Linked DNA regions of Drosophila melanogaster. Changing the gene in region 3 together with the main gene of any one other region gives a genetic interaction. Each region holds a gene or a part of one and is shown on either strand. Other genes may lie near its edges.

Region 1 (7,579 bases), on a different chromosome or scaffold from region 3:
AGCTGATCTTCTTGTTCTTTGAACTCTTAAAGAACCTGAAAAAGCGATCCTTTTCGGTAGCCAAGCGCTTCTCTAGAGCCCGGGGATCGATGGACATAAGCAGCTCAAAGTGCTGGTACAGCACAGCCTTGTCAAAAATATATGGCCAATTGTCCTTAATGGCCGTTATATCTGGGATCTTTTCGCTGTTATTAAAAAAGGAGCGCTGCAACGGAAAGCACTCTTTCATATATTCGATTATGACGGACTGTTCCAGTGGGGAACTGCCTCGGTAGCTGGAGATTAGTAACTCCTTTTTGTGCTCCAGATCCCTGTTAAGAGCCAGCGATTTTGCATCACCATTGGAAGCACCACCTCCGAATTTTCGTTTTTTATTAGGGATGTGGATCTCAAAGGTTCCCGAGCTGCCGCGTTTCTGGGGTTTGTTTAGGGCATTGTTACGGTTGATCATCTTGGATATGAGCGATTGCGGAGTGGTGGCTATAAACTGTCCCTCGCGGTCTTTTTCGAGTAAGGAGTCGGGGTACTTTTCAGCCGCCTGTTGGGCGACCTGCCGGAAAATCCGTATGGGAATGTGGGCGGATATTTCACGGAGAGCCTCCACCAAAACATTCGCAAGTGTATTCAACCGCTTGCCCAAACTCCCCTTTCCCTTTAGTAGTTTCATTATGTCCCCAGGCACCTTGCTCCAGGGTATCGAGAACTCCTTGAATAGAGCAGAACTCTTTGCACTTGATGGCGTTACGCTGGACAGTGACATGGTTTCGTCATTAGAGACCGTCGAATCGTTCGGGTTCGACACAATACTGTTGTTGGCATAGAAGCTGGGATCCACCGAGCTGCCGGCGCGTTCGGATCGGTTGAGGGGCGATGGCGGAGGAAGCACCACATACTCCTCCGACTCGGCGAGGAGCATCAACAGAATCTTCTCCTTGGCAGCGAACAAGAGCACGTCGTCCTCGCAGATCTCGCAGCCGTTGCTCTCCAGGACAATTGTGTTGCCGCACAGGCCGTATTTGTGAGCTACCGAATACAAATATATTATTGATATAAATTAAATAAAATATGTACAATTATTTAATTTCTATCCTAGATAAATATATCACCCATTGATCAAATTTATATTTTTAAATGCAGAAATGCTCTAAGCTTAAACCCAATAGATTCTTATTAAAGACTGTCTACTGGTTAATAACTTCCAACTGGGCAACGTTCATTCGGAATACTGGATGAATAGATACCCAATTCGTCGGACGTTCCTTACCTTTGTCGATTACATCCTTTCGAGTGGGCAACGACATGAAGGTCTTCTTGATCTTGCGATCGGCGCTGCATATGGTAATCAATACTTTGTCAGCCAGCTCGGTCTTCGGCTTGCCCTCGTCGTCGTCCTTCTGGCTAGCATCAGTGGAATGTGTCGGCTCTACGGCTAAAAGGTAAACGTTAACCAGGAAACTAGACTAGCTTCGAGCAAGTTTGCTAACCGGGGGCTTTCTCACCGCAGCTCTCTGGCTTTTTCGCTCCTCCTGTTTGTACACCATTTTCGATTGTTGTTGCCTTTGCGAGTGCGACCGGCGCTTGGTTTGCATTTTGATTCGGACTGATCGGCGCCTGCTGGGTGCTATGATCGCCGCCGGAACTGGCGGGCGGTGCGGGGGCAACGTCCATGGCTTCTATTTGCGTTTGCGCGACTCCAACCAAGCCCTGTTATCCGTGTTTTTGGACCGTGCCGTGAAATAATATTGCAGAATAGGGATGTAAAAACTACATCGATGCTTGGTGCGCTACTATCGCGGTGTTATCGATACTCCGCACCCAGTGTGACCGTCGAGCGCATGGCATAAATAAATAAGCCAGCGGCCAGCATTGCCATATAGTCAAAATGTTGCGGGGAACACCTTTTTCGTTTGCTGATGCATTTCTACATATGATCATATTTCTTATTTTATGTTGATGTTATCTTATGTTACGATCGAACAAAATAAATCCGATTTGTTTGCATATCATTCGACTTGTTGCAGCTATGACCGATAATAACCGATGCCGACCGATAACATGCAAATCTCGCTGACCGATAACATGGGTATATTTAAACTGGCCCTGAATGGTCGCACATTTGTTGCTTCAGCTTCACGTTGAGTCGCGTTTATTTTTGTTTTCCTCCTTGGTTCTTGTTTTTTTTTTCTCTTTTTTAAAAACACTGCAATCCTTCAAAGGGAACAATTAAACCAGGATATCCCGAGTCCAACGAAAGCGCCTTCACGATGCACTGACGAACCGCTGAGCAAGAAACGGGCATTCAGCCCATTAAAATTCACACAAGGCAGCTATTTAATGATTTTTATAAGCGGATGCAGTACTTAAACTTTCCGCGCATGCCAAACATTATGTGAGTGACTCGCCTCTGGCAAATGGTGTGGGCAATTAAAATAACTTGGTTATTTACAAACCGCAGGATGTTCCTGGAGGTTGCGATCTTATGCCTGTGGGTGGTCGCAGACGCATCGGCCAGTTCGGCCAAGTTCGGCAGCACAACGCCCGCAAGTGCGCAGCAGTCGGATGTGGAACTGGAGCCCATCAATGGGACTCTCAATTACCGACTGTACGCCAAGAAGGGCAGGGACGACAAACCCTGGTTTGATGGCCTAGACAGCAGGCACATCCAGTGTGTCCGACGTGCCCGTTGCTACCCCACCTCGAACGCAACCAACACCTGTTTCGGCTCAAAATTGCCCTATGAGCTGAGCAGCCTAGATCTCACCGACTTCCACACCGAAAAGGAGCTGAACGATAAGCTGAACGACTACTATGCCCTGAAGCACGTGCCCAAATGTTGGGCAGCTATACAGGTGAGGAATCTTAATAACATCTAATGTACCTAATGATTTCAAAAGGTGGGGCCGAGTCTGTATGAAAATACAGATTGTCGCATTATTTTCTGATAAGGAGGTGCATTAGAAACAAGTTAAGCGCACAACTGTGATTACTTAATTACGCTTTGTGTTCAAGCAGTGAAAGTAATATGTGAATTGCTTTATCTTGGGAAGATTCAGATATATATACATATTCAGTTGTGGCTCAAGGTTTTCTGTAGATATTATAGTATTTCAAATCCATTTCTTCAATATTCCGGATTAGCTCAACACACCCATTTTTACATGTTTATAGCCCTTTTTGTGCGCCGTCTTTAAGCCGAAGTGTGAAAAAATCAACGGCGAGGACATGGTCTACCTGCCATCTTACGAGATGTGCCGAATTACCATGGAACCCTGTCGCATTTTGTACAACACGACGTTTTTCCCAAAATTCCTTCGCTGCAACGAAACACTCTTTCCGACGAAATGCACAAACGGAGCACGAGGAATGAAATTCAACGGAACTGGCCAGTGTTTAAGTCCTTTGGTTCCGACAGATACGTCAGCCAGCTATTATCCTGGCATCGAGGGCTGCGGCGTGCGATGCAAGGATCCACTCTATACCGATGATGAGCATCGGCAGATCCACAAACTGATCGGATGGGCTGGCAGCATATGTCTTCTGTCTAACCTTTTCGTGGTGTCCACCTTCTTCATCGACTGGAAGAATGCCAACAAGTATCCGGCAGTAATTGTGTTCTACATAAATCTTTGCTTTCTAATTGCTTGCGTCGGGTAAGTTTTGAGCACTATTTTGCATTTGTATTCTTAATCAACCACGTATTTACTATGCAGCTGGTTGCTTCAGTTTACTTCTGGCTCGCGAGAGGACATAGTATGTCGTAAGGATGGAACACTTCGCCACTCAGAGCCTACAGCCGGTGAAAATCTTTCTTGCATAGTGATCTTTGTGCTGGTCTATTATTTTCTCACCGCTGGAATGGTTTGGTTTGTGTTCCTCACCTACGCCTGGCATTGGAGGGCCATGGGCCACGTCCAAGATCGGATAGATAAGAAAGGTTCCTACTTTCACCTCGTGGCGTGGTCACTACCCCTTGTGCTTACCATTACCACGATGGCTTTCAGTGAGGTGGATGGAAATAGTATTGTGGGCATCTGCTTCGTAGGCTATATCAATCATTCTATGAGGGCAGGACTACTTCTTGGTCCGCTCTGCGGGGTCATCCTCATTGGTGGATACTTCATCACCCGCGGCATGGTGATGCTTTTTGGACTGAAACACTTCGCTAATGACATTAAATCAACTTCGGCGAGCAACAAAATCCATTTGATCATCATGCGCATGGGAGTCTGTGCTCTGCTCACTTTAGTTTTCATACTAGTGGCCATTGCGTGCCACGTTACGGAGTTTAGGCATGCAGACGAATGGGCCCAGAGCTTCAGACAGTTTATAATGTAAGTGTAAATACTCGTTTATAACTTTTTCCATACGCCTCAACTAGATAATTCTTTTGTTTAGCTGCAAAATTTCTTCAGTTTTTGAAGAAAAGAGTTCCTGTCGAATTGAAAACCGACCTAGTGTTGGCGTTCTTCAATTGCATTTGCTGTGTCTATTTAGCTCTGGAATCGTAATGTCCACCTGGTGCTGGACACCTTCTTCAATTGAGACTTGGAAGCGTTATATAAGGAAGTATGTTTTACCATCCTACCAAAAGTTGCATTAAAGTTATCTGTACTATCGATTTTATAACCTTTGCAGAAAGTGTGGCAAAGAGGTGGTCGAAGAAGTGAAAATGCCGAAGCACAAGGTCATTGCCCAGACATGGGCCAAGCGCAAGGATTTCGAGGACAAGGGCAGGCTCTCCATAACGCTCTACAACACCCACACAGATCCCGTGGGGCTCAACTTCGATGTGAACGATCTGAACTCTTCTGAGACGAATGACATCTCATCAACTTGGGCTGCATACCTCCCGCAGTGCGTAAAACGTCGCATGGCTTTGACGGGAGCAGCGACAGGTAACTCGTCAAGCCATGGACCGCGAAAAAATTCATTGGATTCCGAGATAAGTGTGAGTGTTCGACATGTTTCCGTTGAATCCCGCAGAAATTCGGTGGACTCGCAGGTATCAGTGAAAATAGCTGAAATGAAGACCAAAGTGGCGTCCAGATCAAGGGGAAAACACGGAGGCTCTTCCAGCAACAGAAGAACCCAAAGGAGAAGGGATTATATAGCAGCTGCCACTGGAAAAAGCAGTAGGAGAAGGGAAAGCAGTACTTCAGTGGAGTCGCAGGTCATCGCGCTCAAGAAAACGACCTATCCCAATGCTAGTCACAAAGTGGGCGTGTTTGCTCATCACAGCTCCAAGAAACAACACAATTACACCAGCTCCATGAAGCGAAGGACTGCTAATGCCGGATTGGATCCCTCTATTCTTAATGAATTCCTGCAGAAAAATGGCGATTTTATATTCCCATTCCTCCAAAATCAAGATATGAGCTCTAGTTCGGAGGAGGATAATTCCAGAGCATCCCAAAAGATTCAGGATCTTAACGTGGTTGTAAAGCAGCAGGAAATAAGTGAGGATGATCACGACGGAATAAAGATTGAAGAACTGCCAAATAGCAAACAGGTGGCATTGGAGAACTTTCTTAAAAACATAAAAAAATCTAATGAATCCAATTCTAACCGACATTCCCGAAATTCCGCAAGAAGTCAGTCAAAAAAGTCCCAAAAGAGACATCTCAAGAACCCTGCTGCTGATCTAGATTTCAGGAAGGACTGTGTAAAGTATCGGTCTAATGACTCACTTAGCTGCTCCTCTGAAGAGCTGGATGTGGCTTTGGACGTAGGAAGCCTTCTTAACAGCTCTTTTTCTGGAATATCCATGGGCAAACCACATAGTAGAAACAGCAAAACCAGCTGCGATGTGGGCATACAGGCTAATCCTTTCGAGCTAGTTCCCAGTTACGGAGAAGACGAACTGCAGCAGGCCATGCGACTCCTAAACGCAGCCAGCAGACAAAGAACTGAAGCAGCCAATGAGGATTTCGGAGGAACGGAGCTGCAGGGCTTGTTGGGTCATTCCCATCGGCATCAAAGGGAGCCCACGTTTATGAGCGAGTCGGACAAACTCAAAATGTTATTGCTGCCTTCAAAATAGCAAGACTAAATAAGCAATTGATGCATTTACTTAAGGTTCAAAAACTCTTACAATATTGTAGTTTTTGTTCTAAGAAATCAAATTGTTAGCGCTGAAAATAATCGTACAATCTTATCTATTTTACGAAATCGTAATATTGTTATGTTCACTGTTCAACGATTTATAAGAATATATCGCTTCACTAGAATTGGAAACCCAAATGATATTTAAAACAAACAAATACGAAATTGTAGTACACAAGCCAGAGCAGTTTACATGCGATGAACATTTAGATTCTTCTTAATCGATTACTGGAACAGACTGAGCGAAACTAGAACTACGAATTACGAATACTCATAGTCATTAGGCTGCAACTTTATTTTACAGATTCATCACCCCATCTAGCTTGTAAGCATTCGAATCTCTGTGTACGTTTGTGAATGACTGTTTCCTTAATCCTGGTACTCACGCCAAAGTAAATGCCAAAGAGGATAATAATTTATTTTCATTATTTTTCTTTGCCGTGGGTACAGGACTTTAGATTGTAGATTATAGATTTAAGTACGATATAAATAAGCCTCTTGGGCACACAAATCGTACCTCAGAAAGTGCCTTCAAGTTTACAAAATTATACATAATAATTTGTGTAACTAATAAACGATTTTAAATCCTCGAGTCCTAGCCTTGCTTTAATTTCTGTTGATTTAGGAGCTTAAACTCCGGACCCCAAACGACGTTGTTGGCGAACTCCCCGAGCAGATAGCAAACCAGGTTGAACCCCACAAGTAGTGCCAAGAACACGTAGCGCAGGTATGCGGGCAGCACTTCCAGAATGGGATACACCCACTCGCCACTGAAGTAGCGAACAATGTGCAGCCAGATGATGTAAAGCAGGATGAAGGAGACGTTGCCCGTGATGCCTGCCAATCGACTCGGATAGCGGCGGAAGCAGGTAAACAGGTCCATAATGGCCAAAAGGGCCACATTCGTGTGTACCACGTGATTCAACCAGCTGCAAATATTGAGAAACACAGGTAAATCAAAACTCGCCTCGCCTGATGAACAGAAAGTTTAGACAGGCTCGAAACAAAAGAGACTCCAGCAGACTAACATTGTGCATTGTACGCAAGTTAAACCGGCGGAAAAACATAAACACTTGCCTGGGGAAAATCGCATCCAGCGCTGAGGGAAAGATGAGCTCACGGTCCCACACGTAGATGACCCAAAACGAGAGGCAGACATTGTGGGCGACAGGAAAGGCAAAGGCGGCGAACACATAGTCCCTCACCGATCGCAACATGGATTTTGAATCCCCGGAGACATTGTTATCGCCGAAGAGATCGTTCAGCAGAGCCAATGAGTGGTAGATGGCCTGTAGAATGACGTCCAAGAAGGTAAGGTACTTGAACTTGCCGCCCCACCGCGCCTTCAGTTCATCCTCGTCTAGCAAATCCGTGGGCCAATGCACCCGGAAGTAGTGAAAGTATATCCCATACGAAAACTGCGCTGCCGCCAGGAGATGGACCAGGAATCTCAGGTATTTGAAGGCACCGCTCGTAT
Region 2 (5,709 bases), on a different chromosome or scaffold from region 3:
CTGTTGCCCGTGCCAACGACTTCGTCTGTCCATGTTCTTGGCTCGTATGTACATACATACATTTTTTCGTATTTAGACTTCCACGCAAAACGTTTGACAACGTTTGTTTTAGTTTTCGCCTCTTAATTAATATTAGGGTTTTTTCCACAGAGACACAAATTTGTTCGAAAGTGAAAACTAGAACATTAAAAAAGTGAAAATAATTAGCATAGTGGGGAGGGGACATAATACGCTGGACGGGAAAAATGTAGAAAGAAATTAATTTTCATTGAAAATTCAAATGCCACTCGAAAAGGTCAGCGAAAGGGGGTGGGGTCTGAAAAAGGAAGGGAAGAAGCAGCAGCGAAGGCAAACAATCGAGAGAAAACGAAATTTTTTAATTGATTTCACTTAAATCACTTTTGCTTCACAACAACGCAGCATCTGCGCAAGAAGAAGGAAAAGTACGAAAACACATTTCGGTATTTTTTCTTATTTGTTTAACTTTTGTTTCTTCGATTTTTAGTTTTTGGGCGAATGACCGAAGACGAGCCCCGCACACTTGACCATCGCATCGATAAGTCCATACGAAGGGAAGACGGCGAAGAATGAGAGAATAGGGAAATGGGGATGATCCCAATTCGTACACTTGGCAAAATACCCTTAGTTTAGTTGTGGTCATTTTTAGTTCCCTAAGCTAACTCTGTAAATTTATTTTTTAAAGTAATGATCTATATCATCTACATAAAATTGCTTTTATTCATGAATTTTAGCCGGAATCACTGCATAAAAAATAAAGGGAATTCACCTTAATCAAATCGAAATTGAAACGCTGTAAACGACAAAGTGGCCTTAATTGGCCATTATGTTGGCCTAAACACCGGCACAGGCTCAAGTGGCGGCTAAAATTACCAAGAAGTGCGATTTGCGATTCAGTGCCCAATGATGATGACGGGGAACAAAACCATGACTGCTATCAACTTCAATTAGGTTTCGAGGAAATCCATCTCCGACTTTCCAGCTTTTCCGAGATATTTTTATTAAGCCGGCCACTCCAGTTAGCCTTACATATTTCCGAATGTTAGTAGTGTCTGTAGGGGTCTACCGAACTCGGACAAAATTGAAAATAAAAATTTTATTTAATAAGGTACATACATACATACATAGTACATATGTAAATAGAAACAAACAGCCAACGGAAAATTACCAGGAAGAGCCGTACTGCCTTTTTAAATTGAACAACTAGCAGCATTCAGAAAAAATTAAAAGCAGAGAACATCATTAATCATCCTTTGCAGGCGGCCAAAAGAGAGCATCTCCCTAATTGAGAACAAGAGAACATAACAGAAGAAAATGTTAATCATGTATGGGAAAAACAAAAAAGAAAAGAGAATTGTCGAGAAGAGTAAAAGGGTATACTAGATTCGTTAAAAAGAATGTAACAGGGAGAAGGAAGCGTTTTCAACCATATATGTATATGTATATGTACATGTACTTGTATATGTACATGTGTATATATGTATCGTGATCAGGATCAATCAGGACCAGTCGAACTGGTCATGTCCGTCTGTCTGTCCGTCCGTATGAACGTCGAGATATCAGAAAATATAAAAGCTAGATTCTAGAGACATTAGACGCAGCGAAAGTTTGTTCCCCATGATGCCACGCCCACAAACCTCCCAAAACTGCCACGCTCACACCTTTGCATAATGTTTTGATAGTTTTCCATATTTCTATGACTCTTGTTAATTTTTATCGATATGATAAAAATTCCCACTCTAATGCACCAAAACTGACACTCCCACACTTTTGAGAAATGATTTAATTTTTTTGTATTAAACCAGTTGTTTTTCCAATTTATAGATATGCCGAAGATATGCTATCTTAAACCGCCCAATATATCCTGCCCAGACCTTAGAGAATTAAAATTAATTTTTTCCCACCAATTTCTACTAATGTTCGTGAAAAATGTTGAAAAGTCTCGTCCCACTTGGACTTGCTGAATAACGGGTATCTGATAGTCGGGGAACTCGACTATAGCGTTCTCTCTTGTTTTAAATTAATGACATACATACTCAAAACAATGCACGATCAAAACAGCAAAATGATTTCTTTGTGCAGTTGCAACTTAAGAGCAATGAAAACTGAGCGCGGCTTCAGCGCGCTCTTTGAAAAGAGTTCCCTAATGCCGCGCATCGGCTCTTTTCTCTCGGCTAAGATCATTGTCGAACGCGCGTACATATACATATATACAGTACATGTATATTTATATCTGACCACTCTCTGTCTGTCGCAGCGACTGCGGCGCCGACGTCGACGCCTGCGACGACACGTTTCGAAGCCGCTTCTCATTCAAAAAACAACTGTGAACGTGATCGGTAACGGTGCGTGTTCTCTTGTCCGCCCGCTACAGTCTCTTCAAAAAAAAAAACTTAAAAGAAATGAGGGGGGAAGAAAGCGGATAAAAATCACCAACAATAGTAGCAAATGAAAAAAGTAAAGTAACACTATCATTTCGATTGAATTTGTAACATAAATTCGATATTTAAGAGACATGTGCAATCGGTCAAAACGTGGCGCATATAACTTAAAAGCAAATAGTAACATGGGAATATAAATTTGTAATATACATAAATATCTTCTGATTGTGTCCCTTAAAAACGTTTCTTCGTGTGCTTTTATTTTATCTAAATTTGACCCGATTTTAATTTGAATTTGAACAAGAACCTAAACTAAAACAAAACAAAAAAACATTCGAATGCTTATCTGTAAAAGGAAACAGGAAAGAGAGAACGAACGAAGTGAAAATAAAGTAGAATAAAATAAAATACATACTACGAGGCATGTATAAATATACTACGCTTTTGTGTTTATACTACATTGTGAAACAGTTGTCGTTGTACTTGTTGTTGTCTTTACAGCAACAGGCGTCCGATAATTTATAATCTTAAAAATATATGTGCGCCGTACATATAGATTCGCCTACTGAAAAACCCGAGATCAACTTTAAAATACTAGTACCAACCATAATTTGAAGCTTAGCTTTGAGTTATAAATATTTAGTTAACGTTATTTCACAATGATATATATTAAATATCTACAATATTTCACAATCTTAAGCTATTTTCGGTGCACATGTAGGCATTATTTTTGAATTGCACTCAATGTTGCATACAAAATAATTCTCTTTCGTTTTTCCCAAACAGGATGTTACCATTGATACCTTTTGAAGTCGATTTGTTGTAGTGTGTTTTTTTTTCGTGTGCGCAAAAGTCTTTGTGAATTATATGATAATACATGTGATACAGTTGGAGAAATAAAATAGATAAATCAACAAAATCGAATACAAAACCGTGTTGTCCTAATGAGCCTAACAACTGCAGCGAAAAATGAAAGGCAGCCAGCGACGGGAAAACTTTAAGCAACTGAAAAAAATTTAGTATCTTACAAGTTTGAACTGGCTCTTACCAGCAAGCCAATCAACACATACATATAAAATTCTTAATAAACCAAACAAAAAATTAAGCTCAACCGCCATCAAATCGAAATTCAAAACGAGCCAATTTGTGGTGTTTATTATTTATTTGTATGCTAATTTATTTTTACAACAACTTGATATTAACCCACAATCAAAGAAAAACAAAAGTGGGGAAAAGACAAAGAAGAAGCAACTAAAAGCAAAAGCAGCGCACCTTCTTCGGCATCTTTGTTTTGGGATATAAAACAGCAAAAGTAAGTGGATTGTATGTATTTTTATTTAACGTTTATGTGTGTTTTATAATGCCCATCGAATAACCCATTATTACTTTGCGCTGCGAAACTTGTTTCTTAATGCAAATTAAATTGAAAGGAAGCCAGCGAAATGTATACAGCCCAGAAAATTTGGATAACAGATTCGAAACCCACAGTATCTCGTTTCTGGTACTCCTTATTATCCTGCTTCATTATTTCCTGGGTATCAGGATGTCTCGTTTTCGTGGGCTTATCCTAGCGGTTTTTCCGGTCTCACGCCCGATGCTGACCTTCTGACTCTGCGGATGTGGGAAATCTAGCCATTCTGCAGATACAGAGCTGGCTCTTGAGATCTTAAATGACCAAATCGGGAGGTATTTAGTCTAATGCTTTTCGAAGTAGCTATTACGCGTCCAAATGGATTCAGCATGAATATGTTTGGGCTCATGCCATTGACTGACGAGTAGGTATAGTTTCCCTAAAAGCGAACTGATAAATATTAAAAGCATTTTTAATCACTTCTTGAACAACAATAGACACGTGCACATTTCTCAATCTGGTCAAGCGCCTTACTAGTTATTGCAAAAACCAATTTCACGACGTGACCACAATGGATGACAACTGACCTTAGTGTCATCATGCAACCAAAACAATCGAACTACACCAATTCGAGGCGCATTAGGTGTCTTATCGGGGTTCGCTCTCAAACATTTGCCAAACAAGTGAGTTCACGATTATGTTTACAGAGGTGAGTTCCATGAGTTCGCTGGTAATGGACATGATGATGATAATGCCGATGAAGTCACGCGGTGACTATCAGCGCCAATGTGGCAAAGTGATCACTTCCGCTGGACGCAAAATATATTGCGGCTTAAAATGGAAAACTAAAAGCAAACCATGAACGAATTTCGGTACCAAAATTTTATTCCCGCATGAAAGTGTAACCAAGTTAATTGCATTTAACCGACTGTCCAAAAAATAAAGAGCTGGAAGGGTGGCCAAGCACTCAAGTGACTGGGAAATTGTTGACATGCACACTGAGAAAAATGGCCATATTTATGTGTGTATTTAGTAAATTTTTCCGTGGACTCGTTCTTTTATTTGTTTTTGCGCAGACATGAATTACAAAATGTTTTTTGTGCAAGTTCCAAAACGCCCGCAAAATGCTCCAAAAGTCATTATCAGCAATAGAAAGTGTTACAGACGGCACGAAAATTAAATTACGGGTATTGTGATGGTACGTATACATACATATGTATGAATACTATATAGATAGAGTTCGCTTCGATTGCCTCGACTATCAGATAGCCGTCACTCAGCCATAACTCCTAAAATAATTATCCGATTCAAATTATCTATACAGCTATTGTCTTCCGGACATACATATATTTATGCCTATGTTGATACCCCCCCGGGAACGTGGAATGAAATCAGCAACCGAAAAAAAAAACGAATCTATCACGAAATTATTTTCGAGGCTCTTGAGTCCCTTGTGCCCATGGCTATGCAGCCGTGGTAAAATTGATTCAGCTGCATCGGGGCAAACAGCATTAAACGGTCGATCCATAGGGCAGTACGTGCCTGAGGGCCCAAAAGCCGAAAACCAAAAACCGATGGCAATATACGACCTCCACTTACACGAAAAACTTGGGGATTATTTGTTCTGGAATTTCTGGAATCTATCCTATTCCCATTCTGTACAATGCTTTCAAGGGGATTCCAAGAAATCGGCTAATGCTGATGTAAGAAGTTCCGAAAAAGTTCGTACCTGGAAGTACTAAATACAATACATATGTACATTTGGCGTAAAAGAGTGCTTGTAAAAAGTTGAGTCATACGGACTAGAAATGTATGGATGTATGGAGCAGAAGGACAGGAAAACCCGTATGTACATACATACTCGTATAATATATTGTAACTACACCGACGAAAAGCTATCCGAAATGGAAAACAATGGCATATGCTATGCTATGCTACTATCTAACCATCTCTTTTACA
Region 3 (5,701 bases):
AGAATATTAGATTTGGCATCGGTGGCCTTTTGTAGCGATTCCATCACAACCTTAAGAGGAATTCCCGGGATCTTGAGGTCCGCCTGGATGGCGGTGAAGCCTTTTCTCGTGCCAGCCACCTTCATGTCCATGTCGCCCATGTAATCTTCGATGCCCAGGATGTCGGTGAGAATGCGGTAGTCCTGCAGGTGCTTAGTGTCGTCGTTCTCGAACTTTGTGACCAGGCCAATGGCCACACCTGCCGCAGGTGCGCTCACTGGAACGCCGGCGTCCATAAGGGCCAAGGAGCCACCGCAAACGCTGGCCATGCTACTGCTCCCATTGGATTCCAGGACTTCAGAGGTGAGTCTTACGGTAAAGGGATAATCATTCGGCAGGGTGGGAAGCAACGATCTCTCCGCCAAGGCTCCGTGGCCCATTTCCCGGCGACCCACTGGACCAATCCGACCCACTTCACCCGTGGCATAGGGCGGGAACTCATAGTGCAGCATAAAGTTCTTGGCCTTCAGGCCACCGCTATCTAAAGCAGCCAACGAGTCAAGTTTCATTGCGCTTTCCTGCGAGTCCAAGCTAACCGTGCAGAAGACCTGCGTCTGACCGCGCTGGAATAGGGCGGATCCGTGGAGAGGCTTGTACATGTCCACCTGGCAGGAGATGTTCCTCAGCTGGTCGTAATCTCGTCCATCGCAACGCAGACCCCGCTCAAAGATCAGTTCGCGAAAAATGGTTCTACTGGTCTGGTTGAACTGCTCGGTAATAAGCGACGGTTCGGTATCCGGAAACGAACTCCACACCTTGTCAATAACGTTGGAGCGCACCTCGTTAACCGCATTGTCACGAGACATCTTGTCGTGCGTCGAATCCTGGAAGATCTCTCTCAGCCGCATTTCGCACATGCTACGAACGGCTTTCCCCAGTTCGGGATCTACTTCGGCAGCCACTTCCACTTCGCGCTTCTGTCGACCATAGGCCTTCTGCAGTCGCTCGATCTCGTGGATAATGAATTGGGCCTCACGAGTCCCTTGTTTGATAGCCTTTAGAAGGTCCTGCTGAAGAACCACATTCCCCTTGCCCTCCAACATAACGACGAGGTTTTGTTTGGTGGCGGAGACTACCAAATCCAGTTGCGAAGTCTGCAGCTCCCGGCGCGTGGGGTTGATCAGCACCTCGCCGTCGCAGAGGCCAACGCTTTGTAGGATTAAAAGAGTTATAAGCGGTTACCAGTTAGATTCGTTCGTGAGTACTCACCGCACAGCTCCAATGGGTCCATTCCAGGGAATGTCACTTAGAGATAGCGCCATGGAAGCGGCATTGATTGCAAGCACATCCGGACTGTGCACCGCGTCCATAGCCAACATGTTGCACACCAGCTGTGTCTCCGTGCGATAATCTTTGTGGAAGAGCGGGCGTAGCGAACGGTCGATAAGGCGGGCGGACAGGATCTCTTTTTCCGAGGGGCCCAGTTCGCGGCGCATAAAGTTCATGGGTATTCTGCCAGAGGCGGCGTTTTTCAGTCGGTAGTCAACCACCAGAGGCATGAATCCCTGGCCGGGATTTGGCTTCGCCTTGGCCACCGCGGTGACCATGACGGCGGTATCGCCCATTTGGCACACAGCTGTTCCATTCGCAAATCTCGCCAGGCGGCCGGAACTGAAGGTCATGTTACGTCTGCGGAGGATTCAAGACTTTGCTATTGGAACTCGGAGTGGAGGCCACGAACTCACCCATTGCTGAAGTTGACTTCCACGGAGGGCGCTTCTCCGTTGGAACTGCTTTGGATTCCTCTCCTTCCTCCTGGGCAGGACAAACTTAGGCATTTGAGGCGATAGTTGAGCAGCTTCAGCGATTTCCGTGTGAAAATCATGGCCATTACCTAAAAGTGCCGGGTGATTCCGGCTGAGGCGACAGTTCTGTACGCTGTATTTTCATGGTTATTTAAGAAATAATTAGTGGTCAAAATCTTACAATAAAAGCCCTGTACGTTTCTTGAGACTTGGAAGTTAGACTTAGAGCGCCTCAACTATTTGTATTGTTTAATTCAGTTATCTCAAAACTAGAATGCCCATTTAAAACAAAGTAGAGTGTGCAACATGTGTGCGTTCGGCGTTGCCACCTGGCAAGGGTAACAACAAATGAATTATATAGACAAACTATTACACGGATTATGTCTTAGGAATAATGTAGTAAATATTAATACAGCGTATTTTAAAAAAATTAATTTCGTTTCCAATAAGATATTTAGAAGGGTTCCCAGAAAATGAACTATTAGCTTGTGTCCCCGATAATGTCAAATTTGCAGTGCTGCCAACTCTTAGCAATGTTAGTTACAGCATGCAAGAAACAGCATTTAAATTCCTTTTCAGAAACGAAGAATTAAGACGGTATGTTCTGAAAGGTCCTAAAACGACCAACAGAATGACGCGACGATGTCCAAATCGCCAGATCTAAGTAATTCAAGCTAGCTAGAAAATAGCTGAGGCATCAGCACTACACAGTCCGCCAAAATTAGTCCGTCTTTTTACGCGTTTAGAGTTTTTTACCGCGAGTCGAAGACGTCTTTCACTAACTCAACGACGGTCTTACAGAAGACTCCAATATTTTTCGAGCAGGCAATTCGCGGATCCATCGTTAATTTTGGGCACTTGCAGAAAGCCCAGTTGCGAACGTCGTCGTGTGTCGTCTTAGAAAAGCCACTCCTCCAACCGGAAAACCGCAAGAGCGTCGAGCCCTTGTTTTGCGAGCCTTTTCGAAAAAAGCTGGGAATTTCACGCCGTATTTTTCGTATCTTTTCCGTCAACGAAACGCCGCGTGTGTCGTAGTGTGCGTGTGTGTGTTCTGTGTGCCCGCCCATCTGTGCATGTGTGAGAGCGCGCCTGTGTGTGTGAATTTTGGTGAGAGCCGCAACAACAACCGAAAAGAAAACCAAAATCGACAAATGCGGTCAAATTGAAAAGAAAAACAAAAAATCAAAGAGTATTCTTGCGCAAAGCCAAAAGGCAAAGTCAAAAAAGAGCGCAAAGCCAAAAAAACGCAGATTTCCCAACGAAAAGGCCGGAAAATTGCCCACTAGGCGTGTCGCTGCTTCTTCTTGTTCTTTCAAATTGTTTATGCTGCAATTGCAGTGGTGTGCGAAAGGAGTGGTAGAGAGAGAGAGAAGGAAAAGCGTCTTATCAACGCCCGCTTTCTTATCAGAACCCACACATTTGTTGCGAAAATTCCAACCAGCCGAAACTCACAGTGAAGCTTTAAATAGCACATCAAACAAACAGGTAAGTCTCATTAATCAGCTTGAAATCACCTTATTTTCTACTGCTCCTCGGTGGTCACAACTCACTGGCTGTTCCCCTCCTTTGCACTTAAGCACTTAACGGTAACTGTAAATTACACACACGTTGGCCTTGTCTCTCCTGGCGATTAATTGCATTAATGCCGCAGGACTCGCGCCATCCCTGTCACCCCACGCCAATCGATTAAAAAGTGAAAGCAATCGGGAAATGCTTATCAGTAGGTCCTCCTTCTTTGCTTTTTAAATGCATAAATACCCATGCACAGATGCACACATGCAAGCAATCAGCCCAACAATGCACTATATGAATATTTATAGCTCATTATTTATTGTCTCGCTGTTCCCGTCCATCATTTGACCCGCTAAAGAGGGCAGGTTGGTAAATAAATGAAAAGTTATCGAGATAATCGGTGGAATTGTTGGATCATTAATAATTTGTTTATTTTTTAGTTAACCTCTGACAATTTATCAATGACTTAGTAGACATAAGTCAGCTTGTTATTTTTGCATTTACCAAGATATCCGGAAGTAACATCTATTGCTCACACAAAAATATATTGGGCATTCACAATAGTGATGACTCACTGCCATGCGTGTTCACTGATTATTTTGACTTCTAAAATCATACATTTTATATTTACGTAAAGTTTTCAGAGCTGATATAAACATTAATTCAAGATATTTATTTATTAATCACTTGCACACTACTTCCAAAATACTGTACGTTTTATGCAAAATGTCGGAATAACATCAGAGATGTGATGCACAGGAAAATTCCCCATAATTCATGAAACCTATTTCCAAAATTAACAGAAAACTATTTGCGGTACTCGAACTCAAAATCTGTATTTTTATAGCACGAACATTGGAAAAGAACGCAAACCAATTAGTGAAACCATTTTGAAATCACCATAAATCAGCGTGATTGCCTGGCAATAAATTCCCGTTTCCATTTGCAGCTGACAAATGCGAGTCGTTAAAAATAGTTTTTCCCCAAAAGCGTAACTTTCCCCCGCTTTTCAAGGGCGACCCTCGCAATGTCCCGATGTACTTTCCTTATCGCTTCTGCATTTCGAGTTCTTTTTTCTGTGGTACGTCATCGGCAGCCGGGTGTCTCTGATTGTTTGAGAATCGCCTCGCCGGCTGCATAATTAAGACGAGCTGGACGTTTAGCTGATAAACGTTTCCACTTTTCATCGGCGGATGGGAGTCAATGTGCCATTCACAGAAGACCTCTACTCTGGTACACAGATGGTGATTGTTAAAGTCCAAGATCTCTGATGTGTGACCCCATGGGGTGCCCTTTTCAACTGTCAGGTCGCAACTATTGTTTCCATGTTTCGAGGGCTTGCGTCACAGTTTATCGACTCGAGTTGCGAGCTGCGAGCTGTGAGTCCCGAGAACCCGCAACCCATTCCGACAGGATGACGTAGGCAATTGGCAGAAACATGTGTATCCTGGGTATCCTGGGCCCCGTGCAGACAACAATAAACCATCAGCGCCAACCCCATGGGCAAATAAAACCCAATCGAATATTATTATCAATGAGGGCAGGACCCAAACAACGAACGCCAGTTCGAGCGCGAAGGAGGGTTGGCCACATGCTGCTCTTCCCTTGGCAGGATATCATTGCCAGCACTTGGACCCAGCCCACTGAACTTCCCAATTCCAATTCCAATCCCGACCACGCCCACATGCCATCATCGTCGCCTTCTGCGCTAATTTGGCGCGACTTTGACACTTGTTAGCCAATATGTTTTTGGCTCGTGTTAATGGCCCAACGGGAATTGATATTAATTGCGCCGCACGCCCCTCACGCCGCCCGAACTGGGCGTGGTCGTCGGTCAATATTGTTGGTCTCTAGAAGAAAAAAAAAAACAACAGAAAACGAAAAACACAAATGGCCCGAAAATCAGCTTAAATCAATTTTTTGTGGTCGCCGCCTTTTGTTCACTTGCTGGTTTTTGGTCCAAAATCGGCTTACCAACTTCGGTGCCTGTTTTTCTTGTGACTTTGGGCTTTACAAAGAGGCTCTAAGGTTCCCTTCTCGTTCAATCTAATTAATCCTGCCTTCCTTGATTGAGAATATGGGATTTGCCTTGCCCTTAAGAAAACCAGATTTCCTCACCCTTTGGCAGCCAATGAAAACTGAAAGCGCTCCCAATGTTTCCATTTTTCCAGGCCCTGTGTTTTCCTTTCATGTGCCCTAATAAAACTAAATTCAATTAGAACTTGCAGTTCGAGTTCCTTGTGCGTGTGGGAAAAGTTGGAGTGAAATGTGAGAAAAGTTTTGCGGAATATGTCGGAAAAGTGAAAGAGGGATGGGTAGGATCAGTGGCAATGGGCGGATGGCACATGGAGGGCTCATTAGTTGCCAAACGAAATCTCCGGAGGGCATGCAAATTTAATCGAATC

The links.
Region 1: of Gprk2 (region 3) and smo, changing one enhances a phenotype caused by changing the other (phenotypic enhancement), as found in Drosophila melanogaster (3 studies listed by BioGRID).
Region 2: of Gprk2 (region 3) and fog, changing one suppresses a phenotype caused by changing the other (phenotypic suppression), as found in Drosophila melanogaster (2 studies listed by BioGRID).

Annotation. Positions count from the first base shown.
Region 1 is NT_033779.5:275,475-283,053, forward strand, and holds smo (smoothened), read left to right. Parts: upstream 1-2,107; 5' UTR 2,108-2,351; coding exon 2,352-2,389; exon of another isoform or gene 2,390-2,455; coding exon 2,456-2,849; intron 2,850-3,168; coding exon 3,169-3,650; intron 3,651-3,710; coding exon 3,711-4,331; intron 4,332-4,395; coding exon 4,396-4,566; intron 4,567-4,635; coding exon 4,636-6,040; 3' UTR 6,041-6,693; downstream 6,694-7,579. Other genes in the region: CG17078 (uncharacterized protein), read right to left, coding at 1-1,023, 1,265-1,429, 1,485-1,668; CG11601 (uncharacterized protein), read right to left, coding at 6,698-7,031, 7,180-7,579. UniProt on the Drosophila melanogaster protein: Segment polarity protein required for correct patterning of every segment. G protein-coupled receptor which associates with the patched protein (ptc) to transduce the hedgehog (hh) signal through the activation of an inhibitory G-protein.
Region 2 is NC_004354.4:22,851,809-22,857,517, reverse strand, and holds the start of fog (folded gastrulation), read left to right. Parts: upstream 1-2,323; 5' UTR 2,324-2,475; exon of another isoform or gene 2,476-3,711; intron 3,712-5,709. UniProt on the Drosophila melanogaster protein: Coordinates cell shape changes during formation of the ventral furrow and invagination of the posterior midgut primordium, by inducing apical constriction of cells in spatially and temporally defined manners.
Region 3 is NT_033777.3:31,402,688-31,408,388, forward strand, and holds the start of Gprk2 (G protein-coupled receptor kinase 2), read left to right. Parts: upstream 1-2,557; 5' UTR 2,558-3,269; intron 3,270-5,701. Other genes in the region: PNPase (polynucleotide phosphorylase), read right to left, coding at 1-1,188, 1,249-1,668, 1,725-1,870. UniProt on the Drosophila melanogaster protein: Specifically phosphorylates the activated forms of G protein-coupled receptors. Required during oogenesis and embryogenesis; component of a signaling pathway that functions during egg chamber maturation.